Drosophila melanogaster: one gene and its partner. The protein of the gene in region 1 interacts with the protein of each later gene in a pairwise test. Each region holds a gene or a part of one and is shown on either strand. Other genes may lie near its edges.

What was found.
Region 2: the proteins of Fer3HCH (region 1) and scaf6 interact in a two-hybrid assay, tested with the Drosophila melanogaster proteins (one large-scale study listed by BioGRID).

What each region holds. Positions count from the first base shown.
Region 1 is NC_004354.4:13,105,717-13,110,250, reverse strand, and holds Fer3HCH (ferritin 3 heavy chain homologue), read left to right. Parts: upstream 1-2,056; 5' UTR 2,057-2,154; coding exon 2,155-2,289; intron 2,290-2,351; coding exon 2,352-2,777; 3' UTR 2,778-2,869; downstream 2,870-4,534.
Region 2 is NT_037436.4:17,035,583-17,044,964, forward strand, and holds scaf6 (SR-related CTD associated factor 6), read right to left. Parts: upstream 6,993-9,382; 5' UTR 6,878-6,992; coding exon 6,856-6,877; intron 6,692-6,855; coding exon 6,521-6,691; intron 6,459-6,520; coding exon 6,112-6,458; coding exon of another isoform or gene 6,103-6,111; exon of another isoform or gene 5,352-6,102; intron 5,020-5,351; coding exon 4,857-5,019; intron 4,629-4,856; coding exon 4,556-4,628; intron 4,049-4,555; coding exon 3,974-4,048; intron 3,752-3,973; coding exon 3,675-3,751; intron 3,612-3,674; coding exon 3,413-3,611; intron 3,351-3,412; coding exon 2,349-3,350; intron 2,292-2,348; coding exon 2,124-2,291; intron 2,053-2,123; coding exon 1,738-2,052; intron 1,674-1,737; coding exon 1,502-1,673; intron 1,449-1,501; coding exon 1,350-1,448; 3' UTR 1,277-1,349; downstream 1-1,276. Other genes in the region: beg (bad egg), read left to right, coding at 117-1,256; Papst2 (PAPS transporter 2), read left to right, coding at 7,484-8,335, 8,392-8,573, 8,636-8,792; POP5 ribonuclease P/MRP subunit, read right to left, coding at 8,898-9,077, 9,131-9,368.

The sequences.
Region 1 (4,534 bases):
CACTCATTTCCCCGTTTAACGATCGTATTTCACAGTTTTGCATGCACTGCGACTGACTGTAAATTCCAGACGATCGGGTGCTTGTAAATTAAAATTTAAATAAATAAACGCATTGGAAATTATGACCAGCAGCAAAAGTAAATGAATGTTAACTGATACACCGTTCGTATGTATTGTAAATTATTCGTATGTTGGCGACGGCGATCGAAGCCACAATTTATTGAATTGAACAATGTGCGCAAAGAAATACGTGATATTCTGAAATAGTCGAGACGGGAATACCCCTTAAGATGTAATAGATATTTTAGCAGCTTATATTTATACCAAAATTAAGATGGTACACATTTATAACACTTAATTATATACATACAATTGAATATTTTTTTAATATATAGTTTAATTTTTGGAACAAGTTTGTATGCTCTTTGAAAGAGTATCATGCCGACAATAGCTCAAATCGATTAAATATTTTCGTATGCCGTACGCTATTTTCGACCTCATGTTCAGCAAATTATGTTGGATTTTGTTTTTTTTTTTTTACCTCATATGCTGACGTTTGAGTTTTGTGTTAACACGTCGAATGTATATAAAAATTTTTTTGTGACTCCGCAGCTTAATTTAATGTTAATAATTTGTTGCACGTTTTTATGACACTGCAAACTGGATTGTTGCCATTATTTTGGAGGTGATGTAAATGTGTCGCTGAAGCTGTCACACTTGTCCAAATTAAAATCTTGTTGGCATTACGGGAGTGGAATTTGAAATTTAACTGAGTTCCGATGTGGATTTTGTTGAAATTCAATATGCTTAAGTAATTATAGAACTTTAATGCCTGTAAAATCTTCTACAAAATTCTAGAAATTTTTCTGTGTTCAAAAGCCTTTCCATTTGACCCTTAAATATTGAATAAGATAATAATTTTCATTTTTATTGCGACTGTTGCATAATGAACTAAACATGTTAATTGCCTCTATAAACACACAAGATCATATGTCATCGTTCACTTAATAAGTGTATATATTATTTAATCACAATCATAGGGAAAATTGTTTCATAATGCTTGAAAAAAAAAAACGTAAAGACTCATCTAAAAATGTTTGCTATTTTTTATTTGGGTTGTTATTGTCCAGTTCAACGATGATTTGCATAACTCCTATGTGTTTTTTTTCTCGGTTCGTTTTCCTGTGTGTCGGTGAAAATGAACCATTTATATCTTTATTATTGCCTTTTTATGGGGCGCACATGGCTTCAAGAGTCACCATTGCTTTGTTGGTTTTTTAAATGTGCGTAATGAGTGGATGTTTGTAGTAAAGTGCGAGTAGTTTTGACCACCTGGATGTTTATAGGAAATGTTTGGAAACCTCGGCTTGGGAGATCTTTACATTTTCAATACCCTAAACCTGTAAGACGCGTTGAACTCGCCTACGAAAGCATTTCATTTGAAATACAAAATATAATATTATGTTTTCTATCCTTTAATAAATTAAATTTCTTATTTTAACTTGCATTGGCTGTCGCAATTTTCTGTATCAGCAATATTTTGGGAAAAGCGTTCAAATACCCTATGAGAAAGGGTATAACACGATTATACAAAACTCGGACAAAAGTCGTCTTCCATTCACTTAATAAAAGACAATAACTGCGTTTACTTAGTGTGTCCGTGTTCGTGTGTACTTGTTGAAGTTAAAGCAAACATATCTGGACACAGATATTTAACTATATATGTACATATATACATATGTATCTGTATCTATAAGCTATACGTACGAACGTATATAGATGCGAACAAACCGAGTGAGAGATTGTGTACACACTATTGCTAAGTGGAAGTTAAGTGAAATCAGAGCCGGCAGCACTTTGAACTCCAACCCGTTGTTTTTTGGCCGTCCGAACGGTGGATCAACACCTCCTCCAGATCGCGAGATCGGAGATCGATGCGGAGATGTGAAGATCTGGATATTTGGAGATGAGATCAATGGACGAACTTAGATGGATCGTATCCGATCCATCGACACCTGTCCGAACCGACCCAGTTGCCTTTTAGACACACTGTTTGTGTTTTGACTTTCAATTCCAAATTGTATAGGTTTCTAAATTTTCAAAAACAAAAAAAAAAAAAAAAGATAGAAAAAAACTCAAAAAGAAGCAAAAGACATGGCGTGGTGCTTCCGCGACATTCGGCGCCACATGTGCATGCTGGTGCGTCAGAACTTCGCCAAAAGTTGCGAGAAGAAGCTAAACGATCAGATCAACATGGAGTTGAAGGCATCCCACCAGTATCTGGCCATGGTAAGGTTCCGCAGTCAATAGGGAATATATATATATGCATATAGTACGTTCAATACACGTAGGCCTACCATTTCGATCGCTCCGATATCAGTTCACCCGGAATGCATCGATTCTTCCTAAAGGCGAGCGTCGAGGAGCGGGAGCACGCGGAGAAGATCATGACGTACATGAACAAGCGTGGTGGTCTAATCATTTTGAGCAGTGTACCACAGCCGTTGCCCTGTTTCGCCAGCACCTTGGATGCACTAAAGCACGCAATGAAAATGGAACTGGAGGTCAATAAGCATCTGCTCGATTTGCACGCCCTGGCTGGCAAGGAAGCGGATCCGAATCTCTGCGATTTCATCGAGGCCAATTTCCTGCAGGAGCAAGTGGATGGCCAGAAGATTCTGGCCGACTATATTAGCCAATTGGAGAAGGCACAAAACCAGGTGGGCGAATTCCTGTTCGACAAGTATATGGGCAGCGGCATGCATCCTGCGAAATGAATACCTCAAAATGGACAACCATCCGATGAAGAATACGTATTATAATTGGCAAACCCATGTGTGTTCAGTAAAGATTCGTTTTTTGGCCGATCAATTGTTTTTTTTTTTTTTTTTTTGCTGCCACATTATCAAGTGGCTGGCGTAAAACTAACTCTATAAATATACTCGCTTATCGGCTCCAAGAGTTGCGCAAGATTCTAATTGAAATCGACACCGAAACTGAGTCCAAAAACAAAGCTTCACGAAATCAACAGCTAAACCCATCTGATAACCCTTTAGTTGGACCACAGTGTTGATGGTATTGGATAGTAACTCATCTGCTTTATCCAGTTCTGTAAATACGTTTCTAATCAAATGACACAATATTTCTGTTATATATATGATAACAGTTGATAATCTCGAATCTATAAAGATAAAAGTTAAAAGAAGCCTGACATTTAACTACGCTTGTTCTACCCATTATATAATAAAACACTTGGAACTTGATGATGAAGCAGTTGGTCTATATGATAAGCATTTGTGACGTATTAATAGGTTATCTATATCTATATAGATTGAGATCGTGAAAGTCGGCAAGACACGACAAATATAGTAACTCATTCATTTAGTTACATAGAATATAATATGAAATAAGTACAGAATTGCGAAACTTCGTTCTAAATCAAATTAAATTTTCCCTGATCTAATTTCCGAAATCATGAACCCCTCTGGAAGTTTGTGGGGGCATTCCCACATTGACCAACAAACTCATCCAGATCGTAGGGATCGTTCATTCAGAACTGAATGCTGAACTGAATGGTAAGATCTTGGCGGGGCTTTAATTGAAAAGCGCGTCGCATTTCCGGTCTAAAGTCTGAGGTTCGGAGGCATTTATACGAAGGCAGACTGTACATACATACAGTGCGATACAGATGCGGCCCCAATAAATTGCCATAAGCTGCGGACTAGACCAGACCAGACGAGATGATCTGTAGTAGTAGTAATCCTCCCCCGGCGGGCGGGCGTTAGAAAAACTCGGTGTCTGGTCGACGGCGTACTTGTCCCAATTAAGATTTCTGTCCAATCCAATACAATTTGCAGCTGGAAATGTGAAAAGCCTAGAGAGACGAGATTGCCAGCTGCCCATATGCTATATATATATATATCTGTATATATGTACCTGATCCGTATGCCATAACATATGTCTCTGTATGTCACTTGTGACGATGCAAAGGTGTCGCCTTTTAGATCTATCAATATAAGCCCTAGTTTAGATCTTAAAGATCTTAATGACTTGCATTATAAATCGTTTAATTTTGAATTGAGTCTTAAGTTACACCCTTGTACACTTATGTGGATAGCATGTGTATTATTATATCGTCTTTTTAGTTACTAAATCACATCAATTTTGAGTGGAGGTAATGCTGTTAGACATTACTCGAGTTATCGATACACCCTGAGAGCCGTTCATTTGTGCTATAAAAACAACGAACGTGTAATTAAAAGCCACTTGCGATTCGATTGATAATTGAAACAATTACCGTGGGGTAACCAATAGCCGATCCGTTGTTAATTTAAATAATTGATTTTCAATGCGATTCCGTGACGTCTTCAATCGAATGACAAAATTTCAATTGTAAATAAGAACTTGTAAGCCGAAAGTAATTTGTTGCAAAAAGATACATTGCCAAAGTAATAGGAAAATATCTGATAGAACAACAAAATTGCGTACTAAACTCGTTTTGAGAGCATCTAATAGAATAAAATGATTAAATAAT
Region 2 (9,382 bases), on another chromosome or scaffold:
TACTAAAATCATCGAAGTACTAAAGCTATCGATGGCCGCATTACAGTTATCGATATGATCTACTTTTCTCTGCTCCAATCAGCTGTTATGTTATGCCGCGAACTCCTTCAACAAAAATGTTGGCCGCCCGCAGATTACTACGATCACCGCGGATTACCGGTGCCCTAAGCTGGTCCCGCTGGAGCAGCGATGCCGCGAAGGCCACAACAGAAACCTCCGCCCTTTTGCAGAACGCGGAGAAGCGGCAGCAACTGCTCAACGAGCTTTCTGAGCCGCTGGAACAGAAAGGCCGGCCCGCCATCGATCCCAAGGAAACAAGTGTGATGCTCTTTCCCGGTCAGGGCACCCAGTACGTGGGCATGGCCAAAGACCTGCTCCGGTTCCCGGGCGCCCGTCGCATCTTCGAGCTGGCCAACGAGGTGCTGAAATACGATCTGCTCAAGATCTGCCTGGAGGGACCACGTGAGAAACTGAATCGCACGGAGCACGCTCAGCTGGCTGTGATGGTATCCTCGCTGGCAGCACTGGAGCAGTTGCGTGAGGAGCGACCCAAGGCCATTGAAACGTGTGTAGCTGCCGCAGGCTTTAGTTTGGGCGAGATTACCGCATTGGTGTACGCGGATGCCCTGCCTTTCGACAAGGCATTGCGATTGGTGCAGGTGCGGGCCACCGCCATGCAGGCGGCATGTGACCAGGCAGCCGGAGCCATGGCGATGACTCTCTACGGACCGGATACCAATCTGGGAGAGGCCTGCGCTCGTGCGCAGCAATGGTGTCTGGACAAAGGAGTGGAGTCGCCCTACTGTGGCATCGCCAACTACATGTATCCGCACTGCAAGGTAGTGGCCGGCAACGTAGAGGCCCTGGAGTTCCTGGAACAAAATGCCAAGTCCTTCAAAATCCGGCGGATGAAGAGATTGGCTGTCAGTGGCGCCTTTCACACTCCTCTAATGCAAAGCGCCGTGGAGCCATTTACCAAAGCCCTGAAAACGGTGCGACTTCAGGACCCCGTCATTAGAGTGTACTCCAATGTGGATGGCAAACCCTATCGCCATGCCAAGCACATCCTAACGCAGCTGCCCAAGCAAATCGTGAGGCCCGTCAAGTGGGAGCAGACTCTCCACGAGATGTACGAGCGCAAGCAGGGCGTCGACTTTCCACGCACCTTCGAATGCGGTCCTGGCAAGGGCCTGGTCCAGGTCCTGGAAAAAGTAAATGCCAAGGCCGCTCAATCCAGCTTTAATGTTATAGCCTAATCTTGTATAAAAATTCAGTTCGCTTTTATAAAAATGTATATTTTCTGGGCTAAAGGAAACAAAAAACTGGGAAGTTATGACCGTTGGCAGATCCTAACTCTTGTCGTCTCGCGATCGCATCCGGTGCGCGAAGGCAGCTCCTTTGTTCTTCCGAAAGCTCTCGAAGGGATCGTGCATATTAGCGCCCACTCCCTGTGGATAGAAAATTATAAGTTGTCCTTTCTTGCGCACTCTTGCCACTTCACCTTGTACATCTCTCGACGATCGCGCACCTCGCCTCCCGAAATGGGCGTGTCGATGCCTTGATTCTTTGAGCCCAGTCCAGTTCCCGTGCCCGCCCAACCCATTTTCATGAGCATTTGGTGGCCCTTGTTCGATTCCTCGATGAAATCCGCTGGCTTGGCAAATGTGCTTCCCCTGGAAAAACAAAGATAGCTCATTGGTCCGACTGTCATGAAATTGTACTATAGCCATGATTTACAGAAAGCTCGGAGGTGTTAGAGATCTGTCGCGGTCCACTCGTCTTAGGTTGGTGCTGTTGCCATTGTCTCGGCTATTGGAATTGCCACGATCACCACGGCCCTCTCTGGTATTTGTGCTGCCGCTGTTGTTGTCCCGTTCGTGGCGAGGAGATCGATTGCGACCCTTGCGGTTGTTACCACCGCCCAACCTGCTCCGATTCATCGGTGGCGGCGTTAAAGAGCGCTCCATGGATCGCGAGCGGGATCGGGAGCGAGACAACGATCTATCTCGATGGGGCGGCGTTTTTGAGCGGGAGCGACTGCGACTCTTGGATCTGCGCAAGAAAATAAGTGCAAATATTTCTAGTTTTTGTGTGAAAATTTTTGATGGAAAACCAACACTCACCGATAAACTCGCTTGTTGCTCTTTTTGGGTAGGGGTTTCTCGAGCACAATCGGACTTGGCGACCGCGACTTTTCTCGAATGCCGTCCTTGATTTCCTCTTCTTTTTGCTTTCGCGCCGCATTCTTCACCTTATAGTACTCATAGAGACCAAGCTTCTCCCAACCCTCACTGCAAGATAAGCCCATTTATAAGGAACGCTCAATAACATCAAATTGAAATACTTACTTATCCCTTGGACGATCGTGTGAGGGTGCGGAATAGAAGGCGTTCAATGCATTTGTTAATCGCTCGCTTTGTGGCGCTGGAGCTGGCAGTCGAATGTCCGCCGGATCGAGGGCTTTGTAGTTGTAATCCTCCAGACGAATGAGCGGCACCATGAGGCCCGCTGGCAGGTCGTAGTAAGGCGCTGTGGGTATTTGTGGCTCTCCGATCACAACAGGTTCTCCAGATTCTCCGTCGACCAATTTCTGTGGTTGCTGGCCATCTTCCAATGTTCCGTCTTCGGGTTTGTTGGTTATAACCGCGCGAATGGCTGCATTGAGCACATCCAGATCCACTTCGCTGCTATCAGCATTTTGCTGGCCAGGTCTAACAATATTCTGGGGATAGGCAGCCATTGGCGGCGGCTGCTTTTGCTGCTGCGGTTGTTGCTGCTGCTGCTGCTGCAGTTGGTGCTGTCCTTGTTGCTGAGGGTCGTCAGGATGGTGTTGCTGCTGCATCTGTAAGCACGCCTGAATCGCTGCACTGAGAACGCCAAGATCAACAGGTGGTTCATTGCCAGAACCCGGCGCCTGCATGGGCGGAAACTGTCCCGGTTGTGGCTGCTGCTGGCCCATTGCTGGGCCCTGATTATGATGCATGGGTCCGGGGAAGCCTGGTGGTGGTTTGGACATGTCCGGAATGAAGAAGTTCGGTCCGCGTGGATCCGCAAAGTGATTCCCCGGTGGTGGCTGCTGCTGTTGGAAGTTACCACCTGGATACATATTATTTCCCGCCTGCGGATGCTGCTGATCATGCGGCCCCTGGCTATTCATGTGCTCATGGTCACCCGGCATTGCTATTCGGTGGGACATCAGCGATGGTATGTTCTTCTGCTGATGCTGAAGCATGTGTTGCTGCTGGGACTTCTGGGCCACAATCTGCTGCTCCAGGTGCTGCGCCTGTTTCTCCAGCTGCACAATTTGCTGGCTAGCATGTTGGATAAATACATGATGCTGTTTCTGATAGCTGAAGCATAAGAGTTATGGTTTATTATGTGCTCTATTATGTTCTTGGACTTTTATACTTACTTATCCAAAGTCGCCTTGGTATTCTGCGTGAATTTAGCAGTTATATCATGATGTGTGTTCTGCAGATTGGTTTTGTACTCCTGCATTGACGAGTCCGGTGACTGAAGCTTCGAGATGACGCAGGCATCGAAGAACTTCGCCTTGGACTCCCACAGAGACAGCAGCTTGGCTAGCTTCTGGCGCTGGTCGGGGTTGCCAACTGTGGGCGAGGATAACACTATTAGAAATCCGTAAAGGAATGGATCGAAGTGGAAATACATACTCAAGTCGGCGCTGCAGAACATCGGAATGACGACGTTCTCGAGGCTGTTCTTCAAGTCATTGATGTTCTTGCGCATGCTGTAAATATATCGTTGGACTTAGGTCTCATCTCCTAGCTACTCTAAATGTCAAGGTATGATGTCCGAAGTCCGGTGGTCGGTCAGGTTCAGTCCAATTCTGTCAGCGTAGTCGTCCGCAGAAACTAACCCACAAAGTAGTCTTACTGCTCAGTGGGTTAGTTATTGAGGTCTATGGCCCTTAAATACTATACTATACTAATAATTGACTGGGCGAACTTACCAGTGATGGAGTATATCATTAACTAAATATATAAGATGCAATTTTTGCTGAAACGTTGAACCATTGACCAAAGCCCTAAAAATAAATTAACAAACGAAAAACATATTTTTCTAGTTCTCTGTATGCACAACAACATTGCCAAAAGTACTTGTTGTGCAAGTATAATGATTTTTGTTAGTAAATCTTCTTTCTTTTTGGTATTTGTGTTTTTTTTTTTGGTTTTTTTTTTTTGTCCGATGATTATCACTGTTAAGTGTTGGTGTGTTGTTGTGCGTGTTTATGGTTAAGCTTATTAAGTAAAATGATTTGTTTGGGTGTGTGGCCCTAGCTAAAAGACTTCCGGATCTGGGGACTACTCATATATGATCATAACATCTCTCGAAAACGAATCAACGAATCAATCTCGAGCCTCTCTGTGGAAGTCTCAATCGCACAATCGCTCAATCGATCATCTCTCACTTGTTTGTTCGATATTTCGTATTTCGTTTTTCTATGTTTGGTTAGTATTTCACTCGTTGAAAGAAAGAAACACAATTTAATTAATACATATTGCAGGTCATTAGGTATAAAACTGAGGCATACTTCTTTAAAAGATATTGTAAAACGACATTGATTTTTGCGCTGTCGGTTGAATGCTGTAAAATCCAGTTCTTGCCTAAAATTGCAATATCAAACGGGTTACTCATATTGTCATTGTCCATGGCGATTATAAATTAGGTTTAGGATTAATCAAAAAGTAGTATGGATTCATTTAGTGTGCGCTTTGTGTGCAGCAAAGCTGCGGAGCATCAAAAATTCAGCTCCATTAGCTAACTTATGACTGATTACGAGACTACAAACAAGCAATAATGTAATCCAGCCTGTCCGCTGAACTCGTATTTACCTGCAGAGATGCTGTCCTTCGTGCAGGACTCGATGATCGGCTGCAGAACGCCATCGAAGTCCCTCAGCACAATGCCCTGTTCGCCAGCCATCTGTTCCTGCTGCGCCGTCTGCGCCGCCGCAATTGCATCCTCGATCTGCTTGGTCTTCTGATTCATCAGGGCCTACAGGTTGGTTTCGTTTGGTTGATTGGTGCGATTAGGATCGCAAGCGTTGGTGTGGTTCGGATCGGTTCGGTTTGGTCATTAGGCACACAAAGGTTTGTTCGCATGCATATTCGCATTTTGGGATTCATTTGACAAGCGTTTCAAAACAAATTTGATTTTAGGATTTGTTTTTTTTTTGTTTTTATACAGTTTTGTCAGTTGGTATGAAGAGTGGTTTGATTTGGTTTTTTTTTTTTTGGTTTATGTTTCAAAAAATACAATAAAGCAAAAATTTAATGTAGCATTGTAAATTGTTAATTAAATAGTAAAAATAATGACAAATATAGATTGTAGTTTGATATTGCTGAAAGTACACTTTAACTTTATCTTATCCGCACTTGGAGAACAAGAACTGAGTAGATCGATTGAAAAAACATTTGGAAAAGGGTCGAGAGCAGGATTGATTATTCTGAGGAATTCGTGGATTAGTTTCATAAGAAACAATTTCAAGAGGGAAGTCACTTCCATTACAGGGAAATTCAATAGCGACAAGCAATAAGAAATGTCCTTCTTATTAGAAAGAATTTAGTTCACAGTACTTATAGAGTGAAAAGTCCACAAAAGCAGTTCATAATTATTAATATTAAACACCATTTGATGAACTCTTGTTCCAGAGTTGTTATTACAAAAACTAGGGAATACAAAACTGCCATCTATGAGTCTATGACAATATCTTTGGAAATCATTTAAGTCCGAAAGTATATAAGGGTTATACAAGTTATCTTCTCTCTTAAGAAAATAATTAAAAGCATTCTGGCTTAAAATCGAGGTATATTCACATTCGATTGGGTCGTTTAAAAGGGAGGTCAAAAATTCGAAGAAGCAAACACGTTCTTATATTCAGACTATAAAAGCAACTTTTAGGTGGGTATTTAGTTTAAAAAGGAAACCAATTTGCTTCTTTAAATTTTTGCCAGAGGAGGCCAACATTCAACATGAAATCATATTGAAATCTTTTCTTTATACACTCGAGCTGCTCTAATCTTTCGGAAAAAGGCTTGCAAAGGTGGGCATATAGAGGTATCCCAGTTATTTCCAACTTCAAATTACCGTGTGCTGTGCGGAGAGATTCGCTTCGGATTGCTGGATCTGTTCCCGCAGCGACTTCTGCTGCATCTTGATGGCTTCCAGTTGTGACGTTAGATTCATGGCCATGGGATTGCCATTGGCCTGCTGATTGTTTGGCGGCCCACCGTTGCCGGAGTTCGGCGGCCAGGAGTGCTGTGTTTGCTGTTGCATATTGTCTTGTGCGGTTTCGGGCGGGTGCGGTGGCTGCTGATTGGGTGGCGGATAGAGGCCCGGTGGTTGGGATTGCTGCATTGGCGGCGGATGTTGCATGTAGTGGCCGGATGGAGCACCTGGTGGCAGTTGTTGGTTAATGGCCTGTTGCTTTAGCACTGTATTGGGTGTTAAAAGGAGATTATAGGGGTTATTTTCCACCAATTTAGAACGCACTCACGAGCTTGTTCCGCTGCCACCCTGAATTGATAATAGTTGGCGAACTCCCCGCCGTAGAGGAACTCGAACTTTGGATTGTTCTGCTGCTTCTGCTTGGTTATCGCCTCGAATTCCGGCCCATTTCTGGCCACAAACTCCGCCAGTTTGTCGATAATATTTCGTAAACTGGCATCTGCAAATAGAAAGCAAATGGTTTTTGCAAAAAATGTGAGCATATCAAAGGTTGTGCGTGCGCTTGTTTGTTTGTATGTGTACACATGTGCATGCCAATCGACTTGGGCACAAAATTAGCTTGATTTTAAGTTATATTCAGCACTTTTTAATTGCTGCACTTACCGCGTGGCGGTTGCACGTCCATTTTGCGACTGTTATTAGCACTATTATCCTATGTAAAATACTAAATTCATAACTTTTTGCACTTTTTCAGCGGCACTTTTCACTGCTTCTTCTTGTTTTTTCCGACAGTGTGCCCATATCTTTGTATTCTTAGAACGACATGTAGTCAAATACTAGGAGTTACTCTCGGCACTACTTTTTAAGTAGTTTTTAGCGCTTATCATACGCTTTTTTGAGCAAAAAAGCGGCTTAAACCTTTATCGCTGCTCATTTGTTAAATGTATTTATTGCCAGTAGCAGAAGTTCCAATTAGAATGACGGTGGTAGCAGAGCTGCCAACTTGTTCCACGTTATACCGGTCTCTCTTCTATTATTACCACAACGTGGCAACGCCGCGCGTCTATCTCAGTTCTAAGCTGACAAAAATAGTTTATTTGTGGTAAACAAACATTTAGCCAGGGCAATTTGCACCCAACAGAAATCTCCACGCCGGCCCGTGATTAATGCAGCATCCGAGGAGGCATGACAAATCCGCACTTTAAACCGACAACTCCGCGGACAGCGTGGCATTGAATTACACGGGCTCCCTGGAAATATAATCTTGAAATAGCCACTATATAGTGTGTATATGTATATAGACACATCCGCTAGCAGCAGAATGACCGATAATAAGGGGAGCGTTATCACCATTAATGGCGGCGAATCGGCGGGAAACTCGCCGCCCTCGCAGCGGAAGTCCTCGACGTCGGAATCTCCGCCGGAACTCCGTATCCTTTGCTTTGACCTCACCTACTACAATCGCACAACTCAGTTCCTGCTCAGCTGCGCCGGCGTCTTCTTCCTGTACATCCTGTACGGCTATCTGCAGGAGCTGATCTTCACCGTCGAAGGATTCAAACCCTACGGATGGTTCCTCACGCTCGTCCAGTTTGGCTACTACATCGGCTTCGGTTTGGTGGAGCGGCGGCTGGAGGGCTATCGGATAAGCGGCGGTTCCTTTTGGAACATTGAGCCGGAGCCACGTTGCATTCCCATGAGAACATACCTAATTCTGGCTGCTCTCACGCTGGGTACCATGGGTCTGTCCAACTCAAGTCTCGGCTACCTGAACTATCCCACCCAGGTGATTTTCAAGTGCTGCAAGCTCATTCCCGTGCTGGTGGGCAGCATCCTCATACAGGGCAAACGCTACGGACTGCTGGACTTTGCGGCAGCCACCTGCATGTGCATCGGATTGGCCTGGTTCACGCTGGCCGACTCCCAGATGACGCCCAATTTCAATCTGCTTGGTGTGGCCATGATTTCGGGAGCGCTGCTCTGCGACGCAGCCATTGGCAATGTCCAGGAGAAGGCGATGCGGGAATTCAAGGCGCCCAGCAGTGAGGTGGTGTTCTACTCATACGGCTTGGGTTTTGTGTACCTATTTGTGATTATGCTGGTTACCGGCAACTTCTTCAGCGGCTTTGCATTCTGTTTGGAGGTGGGTAACATTTGAGGTTTATGATGTAAGAGATCTAAAGTGTATTATCCATTTAGCATCCCGTTGAGACCTTCGGCTATGGCTTCCTCTTTAGTTTGTCCGGCTATCTGGGCATTCAGTTTGTGCTGGCTCTGGTGAGGAGTAGTGGTGCCCCCATAGCTGCCACAGTGACCACCGCCCGCAAGGCTGTGACTATAGCCTTCTCCTTTGTGCTTTTCAGCAAGCCCTTTACCTTACAGTAAGTACTATTCTGTGTATTTCTAAAGACAAAGCTCTATTATACCTATCCCAAACTTTCAGATATCTGTGGTCGGGCCTCATCGTTGTCCTGGGCATATATCTCAATGTCTACAGCAAGAGGAACAAGCTGACGTTGGCCGACGTCCGGCAGAGAATAAAGCAATTTGGAGCCAAGGTTGCCCGCTCACCGAGTCGCAAATTCCTCATCGAAGTTTAGAACGATACCAAAAACACTCACATTTTAGTTGAATTGGAAGCATGGGTTTTCTATAAGAAAACCATTAAATATAATTACTTAATTACATTCTAAACAAACTATGTGCTATCTGTCCATGTCGAACTCCATTACGCGCTTGAAGAGATCCTGGCGCTCCTTGGCGGAGGTTATCTGACCCATGGTGCGGTCCAGGAACTGTTTTTGGTGCTTGACTATGAACTTGTTGCATTGGATGATGGTGGCACCAATGTACAGCGTCCTAAACTTGGCCCGTACATCTCCGATCTGAAAGAAATGTGGTTTTATAGCTGGTTTAAGGACATGGCAATGAGACCAACCAAAGTAATCAATGGCAATACGCTGGACACGAAGCGTTGGCCTCGATGGAGACAGCGTATGATTGCCATTTTCGTGCGATCGTTGATGTATTTCACTCGAAATCCCTGCTCGATCACGGCGAGGCCATAGACTCCGTAATACTTCTCCACATTCTGAAGCAGGATCTTGGTCAGGCTGTGGTCGTTGAGTCGCAGAGATTGTGTTGGCGTGTAGGGCACAATCTGCACCGCTATATACCTGTTTATGGATGG